Kluyveromyces lactis: one gene and its partners. The protein of the gene in region 3 interacts with the protein of the main gene of each other region in a biochemical or structural test. Links are inferred from orthologs where the notes say so. Each region holds a gene or a part of one and is shown on either strand. Other genes may lie near its edges.

Evidence for each region.
Region 1: the proteins of UBI4 (region 3) and DUF1 form a complex in vitro, tested with the Saccharomyces cerevisiae proteins (2 studies listed by BioGRID, with this or other methods). The link is inferred for Kluyveromyces lactis from reciprocal best matches to the Saccharomyces cerevisiae genes UBI4 and DUF1.
Region 2: of the proteins of UBI4 (region 3) and PIB1, one has a biochemical effect on the other in vitro, tested with the Saccharomyces cerevisiae proteins (3 studies listed by BioGRID, with this or other methods). The link is inferred for Kluyveromyces lactis from reciprocal best matches to the Saccharomyces cerevisiae genes UBI4 and PIB1.

What each region holds. Positions count from the first base shown.
Region 1 is NC_006042.1:1,965,469-1,969,197, forward strand, and holds DUF1 (Duf1p), read left to right. Parts: upstream 1-904; coding exon 905-3,568; downstream 3,569-3,729. Other genes in the region: MRPS9 (mitochondrial 37S ribosomal protein uS9m), read left to right, coding at 1-55; MHF1 (Mhf1p), read right to left, coding at 155-472. UniProt on the Saccharomyces cerevisiae protein: Ubiquitin-binding protein involved in the resistance to phenanthroline, sanguinarine, nordihydroguaiaretic acid (NDGA), isopropyl (N-3-chloro-phenyl)-carbamate (IPCPC) and guanosine 5'-O-(2-thiodiphosphate).
Region 2 is NC_006039.1:1,270,940-1,273,859, reverse strand, and holds PIB1 (phosphatidylinositol-3-phosphate-binding ubiquitin-protein ligase), read right to left. Parts: upstream 1,646-2,920; coding exon 665-1,645; downstream 1-664. Other genes in the region: HIT1 (Hit1p), read right to left, coding at 1-129; AAA family ATPase SEC18, read left to right, coding at 2,061-2,920.
Region 3 is NC_006041.1:74,291-77,593, forward strand, and holds UBI4 (ubiquitin), read right to left. Parts: upstream 1,804-3,303; coding exon 658-1,803; downstream 1-657. Other genes in the region: ECM29 (Ecm29p), read left to right, coding at 1-394. UniProt on the Saccharomyces cerevisiae protein: Ubiquitin exists either covalently attached to another protein, or free (unanchored).

The DNA of each region.
Region 1 (3,729 bases), on a different chromosome or scaffold from region 3:
AAAGAAGCCTGGTAAGAGAAAGGCAAGAAAGATGCCTACCTGGGTTAAGCGTTGATCTGATATTAGTCTCTGACCTTTCCATTAAAAAAAACACATGCTTGTTTCACAAGTCCTGTACATATATAGCAATTTTACATAATTTAACAAGCTCCTTTCACCTTTTACTCTGTCGTCCTACGTTAGCATCTCGTAGTTCCATTAGTCGTAGTTTCAAAAAATCTTGTAGATCCTTGTTCTTCCTTGTTCGTAGTAACATATCTTCAGACGTAACAACATTTCTGTTAGCATGTTGGGCAAAAGCTTCCAAATCACCACCAACCTCACATATCTGCTGGTAAACCAGTTCAGTAAGAGTGTTGACATATTTTGAATTGTATTTTACATCTTCTGGTAGTTCTCTTTTGATAATCGATTCCACATAGAACCACAGCTTCCCGCGTAACTGGGATCGTAATCTCTTCTCTTCATCCATATTTGATCAACTGAACGACGCTACCATGAATAGAGCCCACAGGACAATGCCAAGTCAGGAATTGCCAGCTCAAAACTCTAAACGAACTGCTCAATCGATTGTAATCTTGTATATCTTGCATATCTTGGATATCTCCGCATTCCCAATGCATATCAATTATATTCATGTTTTCAACAGTTTCCAGAATAGAGGCAATTTGCATATATATAACGAAGACAACAGAATGTTTGATATCAGATAAATAAAAGATGGAGATTACAAAGAACAGCGTTAGAAAGTGAGGCGCAAACGTTTTTCGTGAAAATTACTACTTGACGAGACACTAGTGAGGTGTATGCTTGTGAAAATACGAGTCAGGTTATCCTTTTGCTCGAAACTGATAACTTATAGAGACATCTTGTTTTAGGTATTGCAAAAGAATAGGTTCAACAAATGAGCAAGTATACGTTGTCGTTCGGTTTGCTTCCGTTAGAACTGGATTCTGATACGAAGCATCTTTTGCCCATCAGCTCAATTACAAACTTAGATTCTACTGTGATAACTACTGGACGTGATGGGAACGTAGTTATTGAAGAGACTCAGACGAAGTTGGCTGTGCATAGCGATTGGATCAGTGGCATAGCTTGCCTATCTGCCGCCAAATTTTTAACGGTGTCTCATGATTTCACTATCTGCTACAACTGGAAAACGACTATTTGGAACCATAAGATTGTCGGCTACCATGCTGACTATGTGAAGGGGATAGCTTTAATAGGATTAGAAGACATGAAATGCAGATACGCCACGGTAGGTTTGGATAAGAAGCTAAAGATCTGGGAACTGGATCTTTTTGAGGTGGAGAACGAGGAAGACGTTGAAGCTAAATTACTTGGAAAATTCGATAACACCACGCATCATGATGCAGGGTCTATTTATTGCCTGACTGCTACGAAGGACGTCATTATCTTTGGAGATAACGAAGGCCGTTTAAGCTGGTACGATATAAATAGTTACAGTGTGATAAGAACCATAGATGACGCAGCTGGTGTGAACTTAAAGACTTTGAAGCTTTTAGATGATGAAACAACCGTTCTTAGTACAAGCGCAGATGGAGAGATCAAACTTTGGAATGTTGAAAGTGGCAAATGCCTTTGGACCAAACAGTTGTCGCACGCAATATGGTCGGTAGAAGGAACGCTTTCTAAAGATTTATTTCTTGGCGACTGCATGGGTAATATAACGCAACTTCAAGGTAATCAGATATCTGTTATCTACAAGCCAAGCGATTGCGACACAAAAACAGGTGGCATTCTGGCAATGGCCATTATAGAAGATGTGTTGTGGTTCTCCAGATCAGGAAATTCGGATCTAAACAAGTTGAACTTGTTGAGTAAGAAGCTCACGGTTATAGAAGGTGGCCATGCACTAGTGCGGTGTTCTTTGTTGACAAACCGCAGACATGTCATCACGGAAAATACATCCGGTGAGTTGGAGAAGTGGGATATTGTTTCTTGTGAGCTGGTTGAAAAAATCAGCCGAGACGAAGGTAATTTCGATGAGGTGGTCAGAAAACTGAATCCCAAAGAAGTCTTACAGCACTGGTGCTCCGTTTCGATAAAACGAGGCATTCTTTTTGTAAAGATCAATGAACGTTTCCTGAATACCGAAGTATACGGAAGTGCCCTCACCGATTATGTAATAGTCAACGAGGATAAAGTTGACGAAATTAATTTGGACGAAAGATACAATTTGGGTCGTATAGCTGTCAATTCATTATTACATGGTTTTATTGATTATGAATTGGCGAAGGATAAGAAATTCAGAGAAGATATTTCTTCCACAAAGAAGCAAACTCCTCCATCTACTCCAAATCTATTAAGAAGACACAACTCAATGGCCTCTGACCATACGAACCCTGATCAACATAAAGACAACAAAAGTATCAAGGAGAAAAGACGATTATCTATATTTACCAAGTTCACTCAATCAAATAACACTACCCCGCAAAGTTCGGCCCCCAACACCCCCAATGGTATACCTGACGTCCCACATACATATCACGGCATAATCGAAGAAAGCGAAGATGAGATGGGAATGATGTTACCTGGCCCAGCAACTGCTCTACCTACTTCATCGAAACCGGCGAACCTCACTTTGACAAGGTCTGTTACTGAACAAAGTATCGAGAGATCTGCTACACCTTCAAGCACATTTGGTTTCCATAACAGATCATCGAGGGTAAAACTAGAAACTAACAGCATCGATGACCTTCATAGTATCTCTTCTACTGGGAATGGTGAAGTGAACTTCAAATTCAATTCAAAGAGTTTTTCCAAAGATCTGTCTGAACGAAAGCCAGGACTTTTCTTGAACGAATATATCGAAGAAGTTTATCACGCTTATTTGAAACAGGCTCCAAACTCCTCATCAACGTTCATGAAGTTTGGGAGGCGGATCCCCGAGACTTTGTTCATCAGAGACTCAACTAGACCCGTGATACAAATCAAGAGTGGATGCATTCTCACGGTCAACCATTGGAAAGAGGGGTCCACAGGGGAAACTATTGCATTTTCCACATATCTCCCACCCCCTACATATACGGCAAACGACTTGATCGATAACTACCATACTTATGAATCATTAGAAAGACATCTCCCGATATGGCTTGGAAAGATTCTTTTCAAAGAGGATAAAGTCATTAAGACGTACCCAAAAATCACATTCATCATCCAGCCTTGGAAGGACGAGGCTCATTTATCGGAGGAAACGCAACAATCGCCAGAGGCTGAAAGACTAGTAGTAGAACATAAAAGATCAGGGTTCCACAAAAAATCTAAACCACCTGAATCACCCTTAATGCTACCGAAGATTAACGATAGCAATGTTAGATTAACAGCTGCAAATATGATAAAGGCAAAAAAGATCAAGACTTACATAGTGGATAGATTCGAATCAAAGACACCTGAGATGAAAAACAAAGAAGATCCAAGCGAATGGTTAGAAATCTTGTGCAAAGGAACAGTACTAGAAAACGATATCACCCTGAGTGCTATACGCACTTTATACTGGAAATCAAACACAGACATTGTTCTTGAATATAGACGTAAACCGACTTAAAATTAAGAGAGACTGTGAGACTAAGTTCTCACCCAGGCTTATCAATATATATATATATAACTAAATATAGACATATATACAAACATAGAACTACACCTGCCGCCCTTGACTCAGAGCATTCCATACCAACACAAGACAGGCACGTGACTGAAATCATGAAG
Region 2 (2,920 bases), on a different chromosome or scaffold from region 3:
ATTACTTTCTACATTATCTGATTCTGACTTCTTTATGTTCTTGTAACAAACTAACGAACAATACCTAACCGATGATTTTGGACATCTATAAAGTGCTTCTTTATCACCACAAACCTCACACTTAACCATGACACAAAGTTAGTTTACCTCACACGGTATAGTATTGTACGTCTCCCAAAGTAGCTTGTTATCCCACAATCTTTTTATTCTTAATCTCATCTCATCTCATCATCACTCATACATTACATTGCATACGTGAAGTTTAAGAGTCTCTTTTAATTTCTTTTCAGCCCAAAGCTACATTTCGTTAAGTATGTGTTTCGCATCTGTTTCTCATATGTGTCGTGTTGCCATCCTGTTTCCCACATGTCTTTCGCCATCCTTTTCGTCTACTAAGCAGTCAGCCAGGCCAGTAAGGAGGAGTGGAGGAGGGTAGTGTGGTAAACTGGCAGGCAAACCAAAAGGACCAAAGAAATTGGAACACTCGGGACATTTTGACTTTCTTTAGGTCAAGTGATAGATAATGACGGACAAGTAACTGCAAGTGGCTTTTATAGTAAGCGAAGGTATATATATATGTGATATTGTATGCAAGTTTGTGCTGTATGCAAATTATGTATTAGGTAGTTATTAGTATTGGATATTAAACGGCTTAAAAAGCACATTAGTAGTATACTGCGTCATGAAATGGACAGTAGTTTTTACCAAGCATGGAGACAGAGTCCTGAGTTGCGGAATTCACCGTAGCTAATTTTTGTACCTTCTTCTTAAACCAACTCTTTATACAGTGATAATGAAACACACATAGGCACTCTAGCCTACCGACTTTTTGTCCTGGAGCCATTTCTTCGAAACATATTGGACACTCTTGAATATTCGTAGCGTTTTTAGGTATTTGGTATACGAGCATTCTGTTCTGGTAAGTTGGACTTCCGATAAGACTATGCTGCTGTTGAGCAAGTTCTGCTTGCCGTATGCATTCGCTTACATGTTCTTGTTGGGCTGCTTCTTCTGATCCGAAAACTTGTAAGTCAAAATTACAAATTGGACATCGATCGTAATCTTCATCAGCAGCATGTATATTCCTGGGACTATTTCTCTCGCTTTCAGTTTCTCGTACATTTTCCACAACGTTTTGGTTCTTCATAAATTCAAAAGGCCTTATGGACGATGATCGGATGGAGTTGATTTCGGAAGTAGATCCCATAGAATTTCCGATTCGTCTTGGTGGTTTCGGTAACTGTATTTCACCCCACGCAGTTCTCAGTAGCTTCATTTGTAATAGATTTTCATAGCAGGAATCACAAGTCCTGTACGGTTCCATTTCATACTCTGCTGGACTTTTCAAAACCACTTTAACCCGGTTTTTATCATACCATGCGAATTTTGAACAACAAGTAGCACAATAAATTCTGCCACAACATCTACAGTGATGACGCCTCACTAGAAAACTAAACTTGATCCCACAACTTAGACACTGCGTCACATTCTCATCCTTTTCCCACTCGCCAAACTCGTTCACAAACTGACTGGAAATATTACCATTCCGCCATCTGTCTCTGTCTCTCCTTGCATTATCCGAAGAACCAGTGACAGTCATCGTTTCACCATCGACGTGCCCTGCCACCAGAGCACCAGTAGTCATGTCAAAAATTCAGCTGATTTTCTATGTAGCAGCCAATAACCTGCTGTGTTCACAGAGTGCTCTACTGTCTTGGACAATTGATTACAGCCACTATTGTGCTTTCATGATCTCATCCTTAAAATGATGTGCTTTCTGTTATAAAACTGATTCTGTTGACAAATTCCTAATGTTAGCAGCATACATTCTGAAAAAAAACCATGAAATCGAGGAAACAATAGGTGAGAAACAATACTTTACCTACAATTAGACAGACAATTGCCTGAAAACAGTACGAGAAGACTAAGTAATATAAGGTATCGTTATCAGATCTTTAAAAGCTAACTATACAGTTGAGTGAATATTATATTCTTTTTCTTCAATTGACAATCCAAGAGTTCACAGAAAGCTATAAGTGTCATTGCGCCCCTTTTGAAATATGGAGAAATTCGGGTTGAGTGGCAAGTTGCCATCTTTTGGAAAGGCCACGCATTCTACAGGGGTACCTGATATGTCTAATGTTAATATGAGTACTAGACAATTGCGTGTCGCTAACTGTCCAAACAACAGTTATGCATTGGCTAATGTGGCAGCTGTCTCACCAAGCGATTTACCAGAGAATATTTACGTTATTATAGACAACTTATTCGTGTTTACCACAAGACACTCTAACGAAACTCAACCTGGTACCATTGGATTTAATGGTAACCAACGTACTTGGGGAGGTTGGTCATTGAATCAAGATGTACAGGTGAAACCGTACGATTTATTCCAACATTCGGGCAAGCATGCGTATCTAGGATCTGTGGATCTGGAAATCAGTTTCAGGTCTAGAGGAAAAGCCGTGGAGACTCCTTTTGATCAAGATGAACTTGCTAAGCAATTTTTAAAGAGTTTTGAATCCCAAATATTCTCACCAACGCAGTACTTGATATTCGAGTTTAAGGGACATATCTTCGATCTAAGAGTAAGATCAACGCAAACTATTGATTTGGGAGATGTAGAAATTGTAGCTCCGGTTTCTACCTCAATTGAAGCTAAGGCAATCTTAATCAAACAAACTCAGATAAACTTTTTCAAAGGAAGAGATGGATTGGTTAATTTGAAATCGTCCAACTCGCTGAGACCAAGATCGGATGCCGTTATTAGACCTGATTTCAAATTTGAAGACTTAGGCGTTGGTGGTTTAGACCGCGAATTTACCAAGATTTTTAGAAGGGCATTCGCTAGCAGAATTTTCCCTCCAGCTGTTATTGAAAAGTTAGGCATCTCCCATGTCAAGGGTCTTCTATTGTTTGG
Region 3 (3,303 bases):
AGAAAAAGGGATCAATACCAATAATGTGATCAAGTTGGTGTTCGAATTTATGAAAGGAATGTTTGAAAGTTCTAAAATATTGTATAGCTGGAGATCAGAATTGGCCTATTTTGACGTAGCAATTCTTCTCATTACACCATGGACCAAAACTGAAGTTTCCTCAAATGATGTATCTCACATTTTCATTGATATCTGGAAATATGGCCACGCTCTATGCAACAAGAAAGAAGTTATTGAAAGTGTCAAGATAAAGCTGATAAGGTATGGTGGGCTATTGAAAGAAAAGTTCCCCCACACCAATACCATGGTCGACTTTGGCATTTTGGAGATTCTTAGAGTGGATGACTCCTCAGTATTGAAAGCTGAAGCTTTAAATATTGGAATATCTCAGTAGAAATTGCCAACGGATGATATATTACTATCTTCTACTATTTATAACATTATCATAGTTGTTATGTATCTCTGAAAATGTATATAATATATACAAGACCCTAAACTTTTTATCCAAAGAATGTAAGGAAAAAAAAAAAATGCAAAAAAAAAAAAAATTGAATTGAGTATAAATGATACAACGGCTTTGCGTGGTCTCAAGCTCGTTAATAAACTCCCTATCGAGTTTCACTCCAGTAATCGGAAATATGAAATAAATCTTTACCATTAGATGCCACCTCTTAATCTCAAGACAAGATGTAAAGTGGATTCCTTTTGGATGTTATAGTCAGACAAGGTTCTGCCATCTTCCAACTGCTTACCTGCAAAAATTAATCTTTGTTGGTCTGGAGGAATACCTTCTTTGTCTTGAATCTTAGACTTGACGTTATCGATGGTGTCGGAAGATTCGACTTCCAAAGTGATGGTCTTACCAGTCAAGGTTTTGACGAAAATTTGCATACCACCTCTTAATCTCAAGACAAGATGTAAAGTGGATTCCTTTTGGATGTTATAGTCAGACAAGGTTCTGCCATCTTCCAACTGCTTACCTGCAAAAATTAATCTTTGTTGGTCTGGAGGGATACCTTCTTTGTCTTGAATCTTAGACTTGACGTTATCGATGGTGTCGGAAGATTCGACTTCCAAAGTGATGGTCTTACCGGTTAAGGTTTTGACGAAAATTTGCATACCACCTCTTAATCTCAAAACAAGATGCAAAGTGGATTCTTTTTGGATGTTGTAATCGGACAAGGTTCTGCCATCTTCCAACTGCTTACCTGCAAAAATTAATCTTTGTTGGTCTGGAGGGATACCTTCTTTGTCTTGAATCTTAGACTTGACGTTATCGATGGTGTCGGAAGATTCGACTTCCAAAGTGATGGTCTTACCGGTTAAGGTTTTGACGAAAATTTGCATACCACCTCTTAATCTCAAAACAAGATGCAAAGTGGATTCTTTTTGGATGTTGTAATCGGACAAGGTTCTGCCATCTTCCAACTGCTTACCTGCAAAAATTAATCTTTGTTGGTCTGGAGGGATACCTTCTTTGTCTTGAATCTTAGACTTGACGTTATCGATGGTGTCGGAAGATTCGACTTCCAAAGTGATGGTCTTACCAGTCAAGGTTTTGACGAAAATTTGCATACCACCTCTTAATCTCAAGACAAGATGTAAAGTGGATTCCTTTTGGATGTTATAGTCAGACAAGGTTCTGCCATCTTCCAACTGCTTACCTGCAAAAATTAATCTTTGTTGGTCTGGAGGGATACCTTCTTTGTCTTGAATCTTCGATTTCACGTTATCGATGGTGTCAGAAGATTCAACTTCCAAAGTGATAGTCTTACCAGTTAAAGTCTTAACGAAAATTTGCATGTTTTCTCTTGATCTAGTTTTAAGGGGAATGAGAGGGGGGGGGGTAAATAATTTGGGGTGAAATAGTATAACCTTGAGTCAGTATCTTCTATGAGAGAAACTCTTGATGCTCCTTCTTAACCAATATGATGTTGTTAATAATATCAGGAAACAAACTGCCAAAATAACCCTTTTGTTTTTATATATACTCCCTTTTTTTTTTAAAAAAAAAGGAACTTGTTCGCTTATTTCTTTTATTTTATCTCCCTATCAGTTCTTACTAATAACGGAGAATATAGCACAAAAAATGAAAATAAGAACAATAATGATAGCTGCTATGCTGTCCAAACTTTCAGAATAGATATATGAATGCGATATAGGTAGTAATAGTATCTAACCCGAATAATATCTTAGAAAAAGATAAACGTATTTAGAGAATAAACGGGGGAAAGAACAATCAGAAGTGGCAAATACGAGAGAAAAAAAGGCGGCCGCCCAAGTGATCACTATTTATATAAAAGCATCCAGTGTAATCAGTTTCGCTCGGCCTAAGGTGGCCGTTTGAAAAGAAAAATTTCCCGAGAGGGAATTCGATGGAAAACCGGCAGTTTGGAATCTGTTACGTTGCAGCCATCTCTGTATTTCAGCCTTGTATCTTTAACTGTTTGCAATGAATCTTTTCTCCGGCTTACAGATCGCCATGACTTGAGGTTTATGATTGCATGACGAAGAGCGGGGATATATGGAATGAACTGCTAACTTTGATTGTTCAGAGTAAAGAGCATACCGCTTTGTATCCACTGATACCTTCTGCAGTACAGTGTGTATATGCAGAGGTAACCATGGAAACTCATGGAACAATGAAGTTTATCCTTTTTTTTTAGACTTGCGGGGAGAATCTAAGATACAGACAGACGAAAAAAGTGACTCGAAGTCATCCACGTGATTAAATCAGGGTAACATACATCATATTTTATCTGCCTGGCTTCTCCTAAATTCATTCTTGACCTTTCAGATGCTCCCGGAACATACCCAGGCCAAATATCTCTGTCATTGAGGTTCCTGGCGGGATAATTCGGACTGCCCAGAATCTCTTCGATATTACTTGTCTTATAGTCCTAGATGACACTTTTTTTTCGACTCTTTTTATGATAGCGGTGTTCTTAACGCCTTTGTCGTATACTCAGGTGACACTTTCCATCATATTGAGCTGTATGGTCTTTCTCCATTCAGCATCCGAGGAAAGGGACTTCATTAAGTAAGGAGTCCAAGAAGTTCTCTGATAGGCATGTAGGCTGCCGTAGGCGATTGAGCGGCATTTAATTTAGTCGAATTTAGAAGAAAATGCAACAATTTCTGTACTTTTTTCTCGTATCGATAGTGAAAAGGGGAGACAGCACAAACAAAAACAGGAATTTTTTTTTAGGCAAAAGTAAATAGTACAACTACTAATGGGGTTACATTTGCATTATATCAGTTAGCTTTAAGTATTGATATCTTTTTACAAAAATATTAGAAAGC